Arabidopsis thaliana: one gene and its partner. The protein of the gene in region 1 interacts with the protein of each later gene in a pairwise test. Each region holds a gene or a part of one and is shown in the gene's direction. Other genes may lie near its edges.

Region 1 (9,584 bases):
TTTGGCTTATTACAAATGTTATTTTTACTTTGGCCTTTATTGTATGTAACAGGAGCTCAAGAACTTGAGGCCTCAACTTTATTCAGCTGCTGATTACTGTGAAAAGTCTTATCTTCATAGCGAGCAAAAGCAAATGTAAGTAACCTCCTTAATTTTACTCTACTAGTAGCTTTGAATGACATTTCTTCTCTTTACATTATTACCTTTCTGTTTAGGGTATTGGACAATTTGAAAGACTACACTGTGAAGGCTCTAGTTAATGCTGTTGATCACCTTGGAACTGTAGCTTCCAAGCTTACTGATCTTTTTGATCACCAAAATTCAGACATATCAACTATGGAAATGAGAGCTTCTTGTGTTAGCCAGGTAACTAAACTCTCTCACACACTTCTCTATTTATTTATCTTACCTTTTCTAGGCAATCTCCCTTAAGGTTTGTGTATGTTCTTTTCATCAGCAACTGCTTACATGCCGGACATATATCGACAAAGAAGGTCTTAGACAGCAACAGCTATTAGCAGTTATCCCATTGCATCACAAGCATTACATTCTTCCCAGTAAGAGTTTTTCTTGTCCCTTGTTAAGATTCTGTTAGTTTACTAGTGAAATCTGATTTCTTTTTTCTCTCGACTGTTGTTAGATTCTGTTAACAAGCGGGTACACTTTAGTCCTCTCAGACGAACTGACACAAGACAGAATCATTACCAAGCTATATCCCGTCTTCAACCTTCAGGTGCAATGTCCTCATCTTTGAGCTTATTAGTTAATAATACAAGCAGTCAAATATCAAACAGTTTAAGTAATATGCTTGGTTTGACTCACTTAGATGCCCCTGCATCGAAATCACTCTCCTGGCATTTAGGCTCAGAGACCAAGTCTACCCTCAAAGGAACATCCACAGTTGCACCAAGGTGAGTTCACAAAAAGCTTTAGTACTGCTTCTCACGTTCTTGATAACTAATACATATTTACTGTGCAGCTCCAAAGATTCAAAAGCTTTCTCAAAGACATCTGGAGTGTTCCATCTCTTAGGTACGAGAAACAGGGAGTCGGGGAAGTATCAAACATAGCATTTCTTCTTAGACAACTCTTGCCAAGAGATTGATGATATACATTGAAACTCATGCAGGTGATGATGAAAACATAGCAAACAAGAAGCCTTTGGCTGGTTCTCAGGTCTCAGGTGTTCCTGCTGCATCCACTGCCCATAAGGTAAAAAAATTTAGAACACATGAAACTAATCTTTCATGAATCGGGCAGTTCATGTAGAAAAATGCAACTGGATTAGTAAGCTGTGTATTTGTAATCATGGTTTTGATGAGACAAGTTTGTGATTCAACAGGATTTGGAGGTTCCGAAACTTCTAACTGCACACAGGTCACTTGATAACAACCCGCGACGAGAGATCATTCAAGCTCCTGTCCGGACAAAGAGTGTTCTTTCTGCGTTCTTTGTTAAACAGAAAACTCCAAAGCTCAAAGCTGGCTATGTCTCGTGAAAACACCAACTCTTTGTACTGAGAAGGAAATTTCAATCTCATACCACGTTTCTTTTACCTTATATAATAACATGTTGATTTTCATGTAATTATCTTAATCACCACATCAACGTACGAAGTCCAGTAAGACATGATTTTGGTCTATCATTAACAAAACTGTGTAATAGATTAAGAATGTGTTTTTAGAATGTAAAAGCTTAATAAAGATTTCTGTTGAGTTATTAATTAACATTGTATCAAATTAACAACAGAGAAACCAACATAGAGAACAAAATGGCTCACAACATAGCCATTCCAACTCAGTTGATTCAGCGCGTAAACCGATACCAACTCAGGCTTGAGGCTTCAGGGCTTCATGGAATTCATAAGGTCTCTAATAAATTATCAGTACCTTGGAGCTGCACCAAAAAAAAACAGCCAAAGGTTACAAAAGCGAATTCACATAGTCTAATACCATAGTAGCAGTAGATTCAGATGTCTCAGCCGGAAGATACATACCTCCACCAAGTGTAGCTTCAGGCAACTTCTCTATTGAGTACTTGCGATTAGTCACATACATGATGGGCACACCAGGAATCTGCAAACAAACATAGAAAAAAGTTGATAATATCCAAAGACTTCAGCCATGGATATAAACAAGAGCACTGATACAACAAACTATCTTTACCTTTCGAATCCTTCGCTTTAAGTCTCTATCACATGTAGCCACTATGAAGCATTTATGCTGTATATTATGAGAAATGAATATTACAGAAACATACAAAAGATAAAATGTATACACCAAGAACCATGGGACCAGAGCATCGGTATATCATTTCAGAGTCTTGAATACAAAGTTCAACAAGCCGGGAACGATGTATTACCTGAGTAACTCTGTCAACGAGACAGTCATCAGCATATGTCCCTTTGTGTATACAAGGTAGTCTTTCGAAGTGAGGATCTTTCGCAATCCTACCAAATATTATAGTAAACCAATTACGAATCCACGAAACAAAACCATAAACAGAAAAGCCTTGTTCAAAAAGTCTAAAAGATTTACCTTAGAGCTACACGATACTTCTGACCTAACTTCTCTAACTCAGCCATGACACAATCCGTGATACAAGGAGTGCCTTCAAACCAGAAACAATTACAGGTGGTTAACAAGAGAGAGAACCTATATAGACCTATCAAAATCTTTAAGTAACTCACAATTTGCGTACAGACAGTCTCTCATTCCCTTCTCAAGATCGATCTATTAGATACACCAGAGCAAAATAAGTCAAAAAGGATTTCAAACAATGAGAGATTCCAATCAGGTTCACCAAGACTATAAACTCTACAAAGATCGATACACATTCTGATTATAGCTCTGTGATAGAGAAATGCAATTGAAGATGAACCGACCTTATTCTGGATAGAGAAGTTGATGAAGTTAGTATCCACCAAAACACGGTAAGGAGGAACCAATGTAGAGTTGTAAGAAAAGAAAAGCCCTGCAGGAACACTCGGTCTGATCCAAAAACAAATCAAACGAAACCCAAATAATTACAACTTGGCAACGAAAGCTAACAGTGGTAGGAAGCTTACACGTTTCTCGGAAGTTCCGTGAGGTCCTTCTTGTTTGGATTCAGAACCTCTTCCTTGTAACTATATAAATAAAAACAAAACTAAGAATCTCTTTAAAAAAGGATCAAATTTGAAGGAAGACGAATCGTTTACTCACTGCTTCAAAGCTTTGTGGCTAATCATCTTCTTCACGACAGCAAACTTTTGAGGTTTCTTTGCCTTTCCCATCTTCGAAGCAAAGAGTAACAAAAACCCTAGAACGACGCAGAGAGAAAGACTGGGAAGCTGAATATGCGAGGTCTGAATCGGCGGAGGCTGAGAAGTGGTTTTCGAATTGGGTATCAGAGACGGAGACTAACGCTCAATATACAGCCTAATTATAAGCCCAATAATAAAATAAATGGGCCTAATTTATATGGCCCATAAGCGAAGCGAGTTTCTTAAATCACGTGTTAGTAAAGGTTAAGAAACGAAGAGAAAATTCCAGATTTTTCAAAGTGATGCGAGAATGATCTGGAGAGCAGAAGAAATATCTTTTCCCTCTGAACGTTGTTGTTCGTCTTTCTATAAATCAAGAAATGTCTTTGGATTGTTCACTACCCATAGAAAAAGCTGCAATCATCTGAATCAGAAAGTAATTCGAAGAAGAAATCTGCTTTTTTTAATTGGTGGAGAGAGTGAGAGAGCTTCGCAGGAACTGAGTCATCGGAATTTACGGATCGTTTCTGTTTCGTGTAAGCTCCGTCATTTTCCCTTCTTAGTTTAATGAATAGCTTTGAGAATCTTGAGTTCATTGCTCTTAGTTTAATGAAGATGCGATTGATTTAGTTTGGCAGATTTTGGTGATTGTGGTAACGAAATAATTCTGAATGAACCAAATTCACATTGTATTTTTCTAATGATATATGGATTTGGGTATTTGCTGCAGTTTTACTGGAATTGGTTAAGTGATCTTGATTAAAGATGATGCCTGTGTACATGGATCCATCACAACCATGTCAAATGAGACCACAGGAATACTATTATCAAGGATTTGGTAATAACTCTCAGCATATGGCAATGGATGCTCCACCACCGTGTCATGGAAGCTGCGTTCACGGCAACTTTCCTGCTTACTGGCCTCCTTGTTATCCCCCACAAGTACCGTACCATCAATGCTGCATGAATCGTTCCGCTTTCCATCCTCCTCACGCGTCTTACGCTCCGTCTTGTTACGTTCATCCACCATTTCCAGTTGGTTATCAACCTTGGTTTGATGTTGAGAAGGATGTGCCTGGGAAGCATCACTGCGGGAAATGTTCTTCCCAGATGTGTGATTTGAAGAAAGACAGAGGCGTTGTGATTGAAGAGCATGAGCCTGAGATTGAGAAAGGAGAAGCTGTACTTCCAGTTCGTTCTACTAACTGCCCTTACCCAATTATATGGATTCCTCATGAGAATGCTAGGAATCAGGAATATAGAAGCTCTCTTGGGTTAGGGAAGCATAACCAGCCTCCTGCTGAAGTTAGAGCTCCTGACAATATGACGATTCAGAAAAGTTTTCCTGAATCTTGGCGTGGTTGTTTTCCATTTGATGAGAGCAGCATGAAGTCGTTGGTACAGAATCAAGACAGTAAAAAGGCGCAGAATGGGAAAACCGTGGAAGCCCCGTTTGATATCAGCAAATTCAAATCCTTATTGCAAGGTCAAGACATGAAGGAAGCGCAAATCCAGAAGAACAAGGAAGAGCTGGGACAGCTTACGTATCCTACTTCTTGGGTTCCATCTCGTCGGAAACGAGATGATGTTGAAGCTTCTGAGAGTAGTAATGAAGACAGGAAAAAGATGCAGAATGGGAAAACGGTGGAATACCCGTTTGATATCAGCATGATAAAATCCTTAATCCAGGGTCAAGATGTGAAGGAAGCGCAGAACCAGAAGAACAAGGAAGAGCCTGGACAGGTTCCGTATCCTATTTTTTGGATACCATCTTATGGGAAACGGAAAGATGTTGAAGCTTCTGAGAGTAAGGAGAGTAGTAATGAAGGGCGTAACTTGGAGTCTTGCCCCTCTGATCTCCACAGAAATGAAGGGCAGATAACTCAAGCAAAAGGCAAAGAAGGGAATTTTGAGTGCAATGTACTTTCAGATGCGGAGGAGAAGAGCTCTGTAATAAATATCCCAGTGGCGAACCATCTACAGGAACCAAGAAATATTCCAGTGAAACTATCAGAAAACCATCTGCCTAAACCAACGGAGCCAACCAAAAGGATTGCAAAGAATGAGCCAGTTAAGAGCACAAAAAAAGAGCAGTCTTCGTCATCATCAGAAGCATCCAAGTTGCCTCCGGTTTGTCTGCGTGTTGACCCATTACCGAAAGAGAGAAATGGTGGTTCCAAATCAGTAAGTCATCCTAAACGGATGGAAAAATCTAAGGAGACTAAGATCGCGGCTCCACTGTCCTCCAAGAAGGCTGAATCAAGGACTGTTCCTGAGGCTTGTAATGTAAAATGTGAAGACGCAAACGCAGAAATGAAGATGGCTGAGGGAAGCCTAAACGCATTAAGAACAGAAAAAGGATCAGTTGAGAGCAATTCTAATCTTCAAGAAGAATCAAACGGTGAGATTATTAAACCTTGTGAAGCTAAGGAGAATAGAGAACAGCCTGCAAAGAAGAGCTTTACAGAAGAGGAAGCTGCTAGAATTATCCAATCTATGTACCGTGGATATGACGTGAGAAGATGGGAGCCAATTAAGAAATTGAAGGAGATAGCCACTGTCCGTGAGCAGATGGGAGATGTTAAAAAGCGTATTGAGGCGCTAGAAGCTTCTACTGATCAGCACATTGAAGAGAAGGAGATTGTTGTTAATGGAGAACTGGTGATGAACCTTCTTTTGAAATTGGATGCTGTCGAGGTAATGCATGAAAGACTAATTTCATTGGTTGGCCGAGATAGTTTATCTCAGTATGTACTGCTGTGTAGGATTTTTGCTGACAGTTTCCTATACTGATGTTTATCTTCCAGGGATTGCATCCTAGTATAAGAGAGTTCAGGAAAGCTTTGGCCACAGAGCTCTCAAGCATTCAAGACAAGCTTGACTCCTTGAAAAATAGTTGCGCCAGTGCAGAGAAAGAGGCTGTAAAGGAACAAGTGGAAATTAAATCTCAGCCTAGTGACTCTCCAGTGAACTTGGAGCACTCCCAGCTCACAGAAGAGAACAAAATGGTATCTGACACGAATTTAGAGAAGGTACTTCGTCTGTCTCCCGAGGAACATCCTATGAGCGTCTTGAATAGAACAGATGAAAAACAGGCTGAATCGGCTGCTGAAACAGAAGAGGGATATGGATTGTTTGAAACCCTGGCAACGGATTCTAAGCAAGCTACTGAAAATGCAGCGGCTGCTTCCTCGACAACAATTCCAGAGAAAATTGGAGAGGTTGAGACTGTTGTTCCGGGTAATCCACCGTCAGCTGATGGAAACGGAATGACAGTGACCAACGTAGAGGAAAACAAAGCCATGGTGGTGGAAAGTTTGGAGGAGCCAATAAACGAATTGCCGCAAATGGTGGAAGAGACTGAAACAAACTCCATACGGGACCCGGAGAATGCTAGTGAAGTCTCTGAAGCCGAAACCAACTCATCAGAAAATGAAAACCGAAAAGGAGAAGATGATATTGTATTGCATTCAGAAAAAAATGTCGAGCTCTCAGAGCTACCTGTTGGAGTGATTGACGAGGAAACACAGCCTCTTTCGCAAGATCCATCGTCATCATATACTCGTGAAGGGAATATGACTGCAATGGACCCTAAAACAGCGAGCCAGGAGGAAACAGAAGTTGATCACTCACCCAACAACTCCAAAGGCATTGGCCAACAGACTTCTGAGCCACAAGATGAAAAAGAACAGTCTCCAGAGACCGAAGTCATTGTGAAAGAACAGCCTCTAGAGACAGAAGTTATTTTGAACGAACAGGCTCCGGAACCGGAAATCACTGAACCTGGGATATCAAAAGAAACCAAAAAGCTGATGGAGGAGAACCAGCGATTCAAGGAAACGATGGAGACGTTGGTTAAGGCAGGCAGAGAACAACTAGAAGTCATATCGAAATTAACCAGTCGGGTCAAAAGCCTTGAGAAGAAACTGTCACATAAGAAAAAGACACAGATCAGACGTCGTGCAAGCAAACCAATGTCCGTAAGTCCAACCGATGCCGTATTATGACCCCCATAAACATTGATATGTCTCAATTCCTCATATATTGTATCCATCTCCATCCTATTGAGTACAGAAAAGAGAACGAGAACTCAAAAATTGTCTTAACGAAAATCCAAATATTTGCCTCTCTGTTTTCTTCGACGTTCATGGATAACCTCCTTAAACGACCCATTCGCTCTGACAGATTCGACTAAATTTTGTGTCAAGGCCCAATATATAACTATATAAGGCCCATACAATGATCAACCCATTAGTTATTTCAAATGTTTTTATTATTTATTTCAAATTTTTGCTATAGGTGTAAATTTCATGTATTATTACTTTAATTACATTTAAAATTTGTATCTTTCAAATTTGTTATGGGAGAAAGAAAGAGAATGATTGTGTGGTTTGTGCGGACATAGTGATCCTTTTCATGCCATAACTCACTCTTCGTTTTCTTCTTTCTCATCGTCACGTTAGGTTGTCTCTGAGCCGCCAAATATTCATCTCTTGTGGTCCCGTTCACGTCCCAACGCCATTTACACTCATCTCCGTAACCTCTCTCTTATGTGCTTTCTCATTACAAACAACTAAAATTCTCAAAGATTAACATGTGCAAGAGAAATAACAAGTAATGATATGATCTCATTCTCACCTAATCTATGGTTGAAAAAAAGGAAATGGTGTCAGTATTAGTCATAATAAAGCCTTGGAGTTGTAGACTATAGCATGAAAGGACCAGGAATCTTCAAGCATGGTTATTTTCTGATACGAATGATTTATATTTTAATCGTTTATTAACACCCATTTAACCTCATAATGACTCTATTAGCCTACTCTCAATCCCCAAATTTACTAGCATAATTAACTAATTCAAGGGATTATCTTCACCCACTTGTGTGCATCCATCAAAAGTTAATTTCTTATCTTAGAAATACATTTCATCTAAACCAAACAAATGATATACACTCTCATTTCTATTCATTAGTGTCATTTCTACAATTGTAGCAGTATGTTAACTACTGTAACTATTGTGATCCAAATATACAGTAAAAGGTTGCACCTCTACTGTAACTATTTTAACAAGTTCGCAAAATGTACATAGGAGAAATAGGTTGATTTCCATGGAGAAAAGAAAATAGTAAAAGGTGAAAAAGGTTCACTCACACGCATCCTCTGTCTCTGAGAGATATATTTCCCCTTGCAGTAAATAAAAATCTATGGCTTTGTTGGGAAGAAGAAAAAGTCAGAGTAAACTCGTAATCTTTGTCGGGAGAGAGTAACAGGCTTTTGATGTTGTAACATTATACTACTATTGTTTTAAAAAGCAAAGAATTGTAGTAGTAAGAATTACAATCATACTTAACAACAAATCACGTTTTTCGGGTTTTTGTATAAATAAATGATAAAGCAAGATGGACAAATTTTAAGGATAAGCCATTAATAAGTGATCTGTGAATTTTTAAGGAAAAGACGAAAGAAACAGAGAGAGTCGAGACACAACTGTCTCCAAGAAGACAACCTTCCACAGCTTAAGGGAAACAGAGGTGGAAACAGAGGTGAAAACAGAGCGAGTAAAGAGATGGAGAGAGAGTGTGAAGAAGGAGAAATGGAGAAAAAGCTGAGACGAAGTTTCATGGGCTATACTAGGAGAGCTGGTCCTTCCACTCCTCCACCCACCTGGCGGCTCGAGTTTTCGCCGCCACGAGTCGGAGCGACCAAGGAGTTTTTGGCGAATTCGGAGGACTCTGTCCGGAAATTGTGTGCTGATTTGTGGGAAACTGAACAATTCCGGCAAAGAATTGAGCTGCGACGGTGTCGACGAAGGGATTCAGATGTGGAATCGCATTCCCGTAGCCCGCTTCACGATCATGTAAACAATTTTGGCGCTTTTGATTTGCTTGAATGTTTTTGACGGGTTTATGTAGGGTTTTAGTCTTCTTGTTTTGATAGGTCGTAAAGTTGTGATCTTTACGGTGAGGTTAGAGTATATTCGACCGGAAAAAATCTCATTTTTGCGCAAATTCCACCGAGAAAATCTCAAAGTATTGTTCTTTATGATGTGGTCTTTTGCTCGTCTATGCACAAATTTCATTGGACAAATCTCATGGTCGTAAAGTTGGCTCGTAAGTGTGTTTAGTATTTATATATGAGTTTTAATTTGCAGCCACCAAGCAGAGCTAGCTTGAGGAGGCAAATTGCAGCAACTGATGATTATAGAAATGGTGATCTGTTGCAACCTATCTCTCCTGCAAGTTGCAGCAGCAGCAGCAGTTCATTGCAGGTGAAGAAAACAAAGTTTTTTGCTCTTTGTTCACTCTTAAATTTAACCAAGGAATGCTTTTTAACAATCTTGT
Region 2 (5,749 bases), on another chromosome or scaffold:
AATCAATCAATTACGAAGTCTTATTATTTATGATCAAAATGTTTTATGTATTTTAAAAACTTCAATCACAATTATATTTGACAGATGGAAATATATCTCTACATGTAAAATTTGTGAGCAGTGTTAGTTTTTCTGCTTACCGAAAATTGTTAAATTAAAGCATAAATTGTTTTCTTCAAACGTGTAAATGATTTATGGTCTCAAAACAGAGTGCCATTAATGATGCAATTACAATTACTCGTACAAAAAATATCTAATTCTTATAGGATTGATAAAAAAAGCTCTAAAAGTTTTCTCTGTCCAGCATGCACAAGGTCATGAATCTTAAAGAACACTCTTAATAATGCCCTTTTGTTTCTCATAGAGCCTTGTGCTAAACTCCTAAATGCCTAGTATTTGATTAGGGTTCTTAATTTTGTTAATGGAATCCCCATCATGTTGTATTCGAAGGTCTAGTTGAAGTTTATCTAGAGTTGAGTGATAATTTACTTTGTAAGCCAGTAAGCACTAATTAAACTTCAAAATAGGAAACAAAACATGAAAGACACTATAATGTCTAGCCAAAAAATGACATTATAATGTCTATAGCTAATAAGTAAAGTGTCAATGCTTTGGAATTTGCCATGTGCAAATGGACCAACCTTAAAGTAAAAAAAAAAACGTAAAACAAAAGTGAAAAGGAGAATAAAATAAAAATAAAGCATGGAGACCTAAATCACAAAAAGGGTATAATATTATAATTTTACCGTTGAAATGAATAATTTCTTTTGACTAAATGGGAATTTAAGGTTTTAGATAGAGAGAAAAAGAAAGAGGTGAGAAAAACAAAAACAGATAGGAGGAATATGAAGAAGAGTAAACGAGAGAACTTGCTTTCTCCTTCATCTTCATGGCGGGAAAACCATAATCCTCCACGGAGAAACTCAAACTCCTCCGCCGTCTCCTCCGGCTGCCTCCCCGGGTTCTTCAACCTCTTCCTCTCCACCTTCAACCGCCGCAAATCCATCACCTTGGGATCTAAAAAGCGAGAACAAAGAACCGTCGTTTACGCTTCTCCTCCGCAAGATTCATCAAACGGACAAGGCGGAGGAATCGTTGCGCCACCGCTTCCGCACAATGAAGGAGAGGGAGATGCGGCGAGAGTTAGTCTAGTCGGAGCACTAGAGAAATGTGATCGGGACTTAGAGGAGCTAAGAAGAACCATCGACGTCATCAAAACCACTTACATTCTTCACAAGAGACTTGAGGTTTCTCCGCCGACCACACGTGAGAATTTTAAATTCTCCGGCACCGGTACGTTTCTCCGTTTTTGTCAGTGTTTTGGTCATCTTATACGTTTAATACAAACATGTCGAAATCATCTTTTTTTTTTTTCACTTATAAAAACTTCTCTTATTTATTGATAACTTAACAAAAATCAAGAAAGAAAAATTCATATTAAAATGTGGGAGAATTGATGTGGTCCGTAATTTGTAGCACATTATCAGGGAATTTTGTATTTTAATCTTTTGTTGTTCAAAATAAATAAATTAAAGTAGTAAACTTAAGTGAACATTGTGTCAACTAAAGTAGCAATAAAGAGTGAAGATAGAATGGGAAGGCCAAAGAGTTGTCTCTTTAATTTGGTGGTGTTGAAATCATGAGTATGTCCAATAGTGGAAGACAGGCTCATCATTTTGGTATATACAAATAAAAGTATATTGATAAAGACATCTTATTGCTCTAACAATTTCATGCATGCATAAACTGTGTTATTTGATTTTGATGTCACATCTAATTGCTCTAACAATTGGATCATTATATAGTTGTTGTCATATTGAGGATAGTGTTCAAAATTATATAAAGACAATATAGTATGGACCCCAATTAAGTTTCGGTGGGGCTAATTATGTAATGAGGTTTAGTCTAATCTGATAGGATCAAATTAAAGTGGAGAAGAGAGTAAAGAAAGTGTGAGGAGAAAGAGGCATGTTAGACAAATGATGAAGGAAGAAACAGCTTTTAGGGGCCTTTATTCCTTTAGTCATGAAGCCCACTTTAACTTTTCCCATCATTTGGACCCCCACCCATTCTTTGATTTATTCCTGATTCTGACCCACATACTGTTTTATGGTACCAAATCAAGAACACCACTTTTAAAGAAAAATGATTCTACAAGCACTTCATGTATGCCTGAGTCTTATTATTCGCTAGTAATAGTTTATATATATTTGTGTGACAACGTACTAATTTATATACTAAACACACAAGTTGTCTGATAAATTATTTTCGTCTTATTTAACAAACAACCAACAGTACTGGCAGGAGATGTCGTCGTGGGGACGCACACGCAGAAGAACACGAAGACGACACAACACGAACCAGACACAGACACGATGTTGTCGATGATGAACCATCACGAATATTGCTGCAAAGACAACAAACCCTACAAAGTCAACAATATAAATCTAATCACTAGACCCGATCATTACTCCATTCATGACGTCATTTCCAAGAGATCAACGTCAACGACGACGACAGAGTCATGTGGCACGTTGCCCCTTGTGGTGCGGAGGGTAAGACGGAGCTTGATGGAGAGCGTGAACCAAGTTTGTGATGACGTGGCATCTGGTCAACGAAGAGAGGTCGCTAAAATCGGTTTGGCTCTTCATGATCACATCTGTCGCGACTTGATCGCAGAGACCGTTCGAGAGCTCTCCTTCTCTGACTACGACGACGACGAGTTTTATCAATCGCCGGTGGATTCTTCTGTTTGTTACGGCGGAGGAGGTAAAGGCCAACACATCCGACGTGGCAGCAGCAACTCTCTCCCATTCGACGCGTGTCGAAGAAGATTAGTGTTTTGATGCGATTGATATCTTTAGGTTCGTTGTGACGGTTATGGAAGTCATAGTTGCGACAATTTTCACCTATGACACTTGTTGTTTAAATTATTTTATAATTTTCTTAGCTTATTCAGAATTTAAGACATATCTTTCAATAGAGTGCAATTGGTTGTTTAGGGTTTAATGAATGATACACTATTTGCATTCAATATAAAAACTTTCCCTATTTGATGAATTCATGTATATACTAGTACTACATAGATTTCCTTAAATAAATGAATGATTAACAAAATCAGAAACAATATATTCATCTAGATACAGATATTAATGTTTTTTTTAATAACTCATCCTATATTTTAAAACTCGATCGTTTTCTCTTTATATATACCTTTCTTAAGTTACCTTATATACATAATTTAATCATAGAATTTATTAAGAAATTGATTAGACGTATCAATTATATCTTGAAGTGATTTTGATTGTTTGAAAACGAAATCTAATCTAATTAATTTGCAGGTGATATTGTACTTAAGTTAACAATAAAAGAAACTAATTATTTGTTTTCAATGGTGAGGAGGACTACTTAAATTCAAAAGCGAAGCCAATCATAAACAGACATCTGTACTGAGAGAGATCTCGAGGACCCAGCGAGAATGCTGACGTGACAGTCAAGTCAACGCTCCGCGTACAGACCGCGTGAACGTGTGATCCGTTTAATTGTCCACTCTGGCGTTTTATAAGAGAAAAGAAATCATTGATGATAGCATTAACGCAATTACAGTCATAATCCGAGGTTATAACAGAGATTTTTCCAAACCCGGTACGGGTTAAAAAAAAAAGCTTTTAAAGTCCCGGGTCGGAGCAAAAGTCGTTAATAGCTTCGTACCCGATAAATACGGTTGCTCTCTCGTTTTTTCCAGCAGAGACACTTTTTCTAATTTTCTCTTCTTCTTCTTCTTTCTCGTTTTGAGAGAAAACAAAAAAATTCTGAATCTACAGGTTTCACGAAAAGGAGAAGAAAAAAACAATGGCGGATCAGCTCACCGACGATCAGATCTCTGAGTTTAAGGAAGCTTTCAGCTTATTCGACAAGGATGGTGATGGTACGTTGTTGTTTTTTTCTCTCTCCCTCTCGCAATTTCAAATGTTTTTGAATACATAGGATTTTGCTACTGTTGGATCTTGGTGTCTAGCCATAACTGATTTGATTTCTGTTCTTCTTGTTGATTCAATTGATCTGTGTCGATGTAGATAATTAACGGATCTGTAATTCGTGATCTCTAGACTCGTTCCTTGTTTTTCAATTTTTGTTCGTTTGTTTCCTGGATTGGATTTGAATCGAAATTTGGATGATTGATGACTTGGAGATTTGCCAATTTGTTATCGATTTGGATTTAATTTTCCATCTGAATTATTTTATCTCACTTTAGATTTGAGAAGTTAATGACTAGAAACTGTTAATTGAGAAGTTTGGGATCTAGCTAAAATGCTTCTCTACAGAGAAACCTGCTTTGAGTTTCGTAATTGAAGATATTTGATTGAATTAGATTTACAGAGAAGTGAATGATGAACAAATTCTTGATTTGCTTGTAGGTTGCATTACCACCAAGGAGCTGGGTACTGTGATGCGTTCCCTTGGACAAAACCCAACCGAAGCAGAGCTTCAAGACATGATCAACGAAGTGGATGCTGATGGTAACGGTACCATTGATTTCCCAGAGTTCTTGAACCTTATGGCTCGTAAGATGAAGGACACCGACTCTGAGGAAGAGCTCAAGGAAGCATTCCGGGTTTTCGACAAGGACCAGAACGGTTTCATCTCAGCAGCTGAGCTCCGCCATGTGATGACAAACCTTGGTGAGAAGCTTACTGATGAAGAAGTTGATGAGATGATCAAGGAAGCTGATGTTGATGGTGATGGTCAGATTAACTACGAAGAGTTTGTTAAGGTCATGATGGCTAAGTGATGCTGTTTTAGAACCAAACAATGGCTCTATAAACTTGGTTTGCATCTCTTACATATAAATTCTTATGTTATGTTCTATAATTTTTATTCATGGGACTCGAGGTATGTTTTCTGCTTGTTTAAGACGCGAATGTTTTATCCCTTTTATGCTCTATTTTGCGTCTGAACATTTTCAAAAGTCTTGTTTTTTTGTTGTCTTGCTCCTGTAATTTGTAACCTTGGTCTAGTTCGCGGTTTTTTATTAATGGTGTCTCTCTAGTAAAGCATTGTATCATGGTTTTGTGAAATGCAAATTAGGTCCTATCAATGACTAAAAAGGTCAAAACGTGGTGTGGTGTGTATCATTAAAAAAATAGAAACCGACATAAAAGTTTCCAATTCGTGGTCGTTTAAGAAAAAGGAAAACGGCATAAAGTTTCCTATTCGTGGTTGAATTGGGATCATTCAATTGATGTGAATATAGGTAAAATACCTTTGTGTTTCTTTGTTCACGTTCGTTTCATACTTCCCCTAAATTTGTCTCATCATGGATAACAAGAAGCAGAGATATTCCAGGAGCATCCGTGACGATCGTGATGAGAGAGATAGGACTAAGCATCATCATGAGAGGTCTCACGAAGGAAGTAAGAGGAAAGATAGATCAGAGGAAGAGAATGGGGCGGCTAGGACGACAAACAAGAGTTCTAGGTTTGAAGATGTAGCTAGGTTTGAGAAAAGGCCGTATACTTGTTCTATTGCATCGGACACTACTTCTAGTCAAATCCTTGAAGCTGTTAAACGATTTCAGGAGCTGGCAATAGATACGGCTGTTGCACATAAACAGACCAAGGGCTTTTTTCTGCGTGTAGATGTACTTGGAAGAGAAATAGATGAGTATGGGCATGTGATTAATCTTAGTACATTGATGGTTAACAACAACAAACACAAGAAAGATGTTTTTCAGAATATTCTTAAACCT

Evidence for each region. The genes of interacting proteins can lie anywhere in the genome.
Region 2: the proteins of BAG6 (region 1) and CAM3 interact in binary tests that used the Arabidopsis thaliana proteins (3 or more experiments, as listed by UniProt).

What each region holds. Positions count from the first base shown.
Region 1 is NC_003071.7:18,982,577-18,992,160, forward strand, and holds BAG6 (BCL-2-associated athanogene 6), read left to right. Parts: upstream 1-3,556; 5' UTR 3,557-3,780; intron 3,781-3,974; 5' UTR 3,975-4,009; coding exon 4,010-5,941; intron 5,942-6,051; coding exon 6,052-7,251; 3' UTR 7,252-7,644; downstream 7,645-9,584. Other genes in the region: ABIL1 (ABI-1-like 1), read left to right, coding at 53-135, 216-366, 458-557, 641-911, 980-1,032, 1,130-1,212, 1,343-1,498; AT2G46230 (PIN domain-like family protein), read right to left, coding at 1,883-1,896, 1,997-2,075, 2,166-2,222, 2,362-2,449, 2,538-2,610, 2,690-2,732, 2,885-2,990, 3,068-3,127 and 1 more; AT2G46250 (myosin heavy chain-like protein), read left to right, coding at 8,810-9,100, 9,395-9,511. UniProt on the Arabidopsis thaliana protein: Co-chaperone that regulates diverse cellular pathways, such as programmed cell death and stress responses. Involved in plant basal resistance. Involved in basal heat response through the regulation of the heat induced small HSP (sHSP) transcriptional cascade.
Region 2 is NC_003074.8:21,034,024-21,039,772, reverse strand, and holds CAM3 (calmodulin 3), read left to right. Parts: upstream 1-3,606; 5' UTR 3,607-3,852; coding exon 3,853-3,928; intron 3,929-4,418; coding exon 4,419-4,792; 3' UTR 4,793-5,239; downstream 5,240-5,749. Other genes in the region: AT3G56810 (uncharacterized protein), read left to right, coding at 846-1,293, 2,296-2,846; AT3G56790 (RNA splicing factor-like protein), read left to right, coding at 5,318-5,749. UniProt on the Arabidopsis thaliana protein: Calmodulin mediates the control of a large number of enzymes, ion channels and other proteins by Ca(2+). Among the enzymes to be stimulated by the calmodulin-Ca(2+) complex are a number of protein kinases and phosphatases. Activates MPK8 in vitro.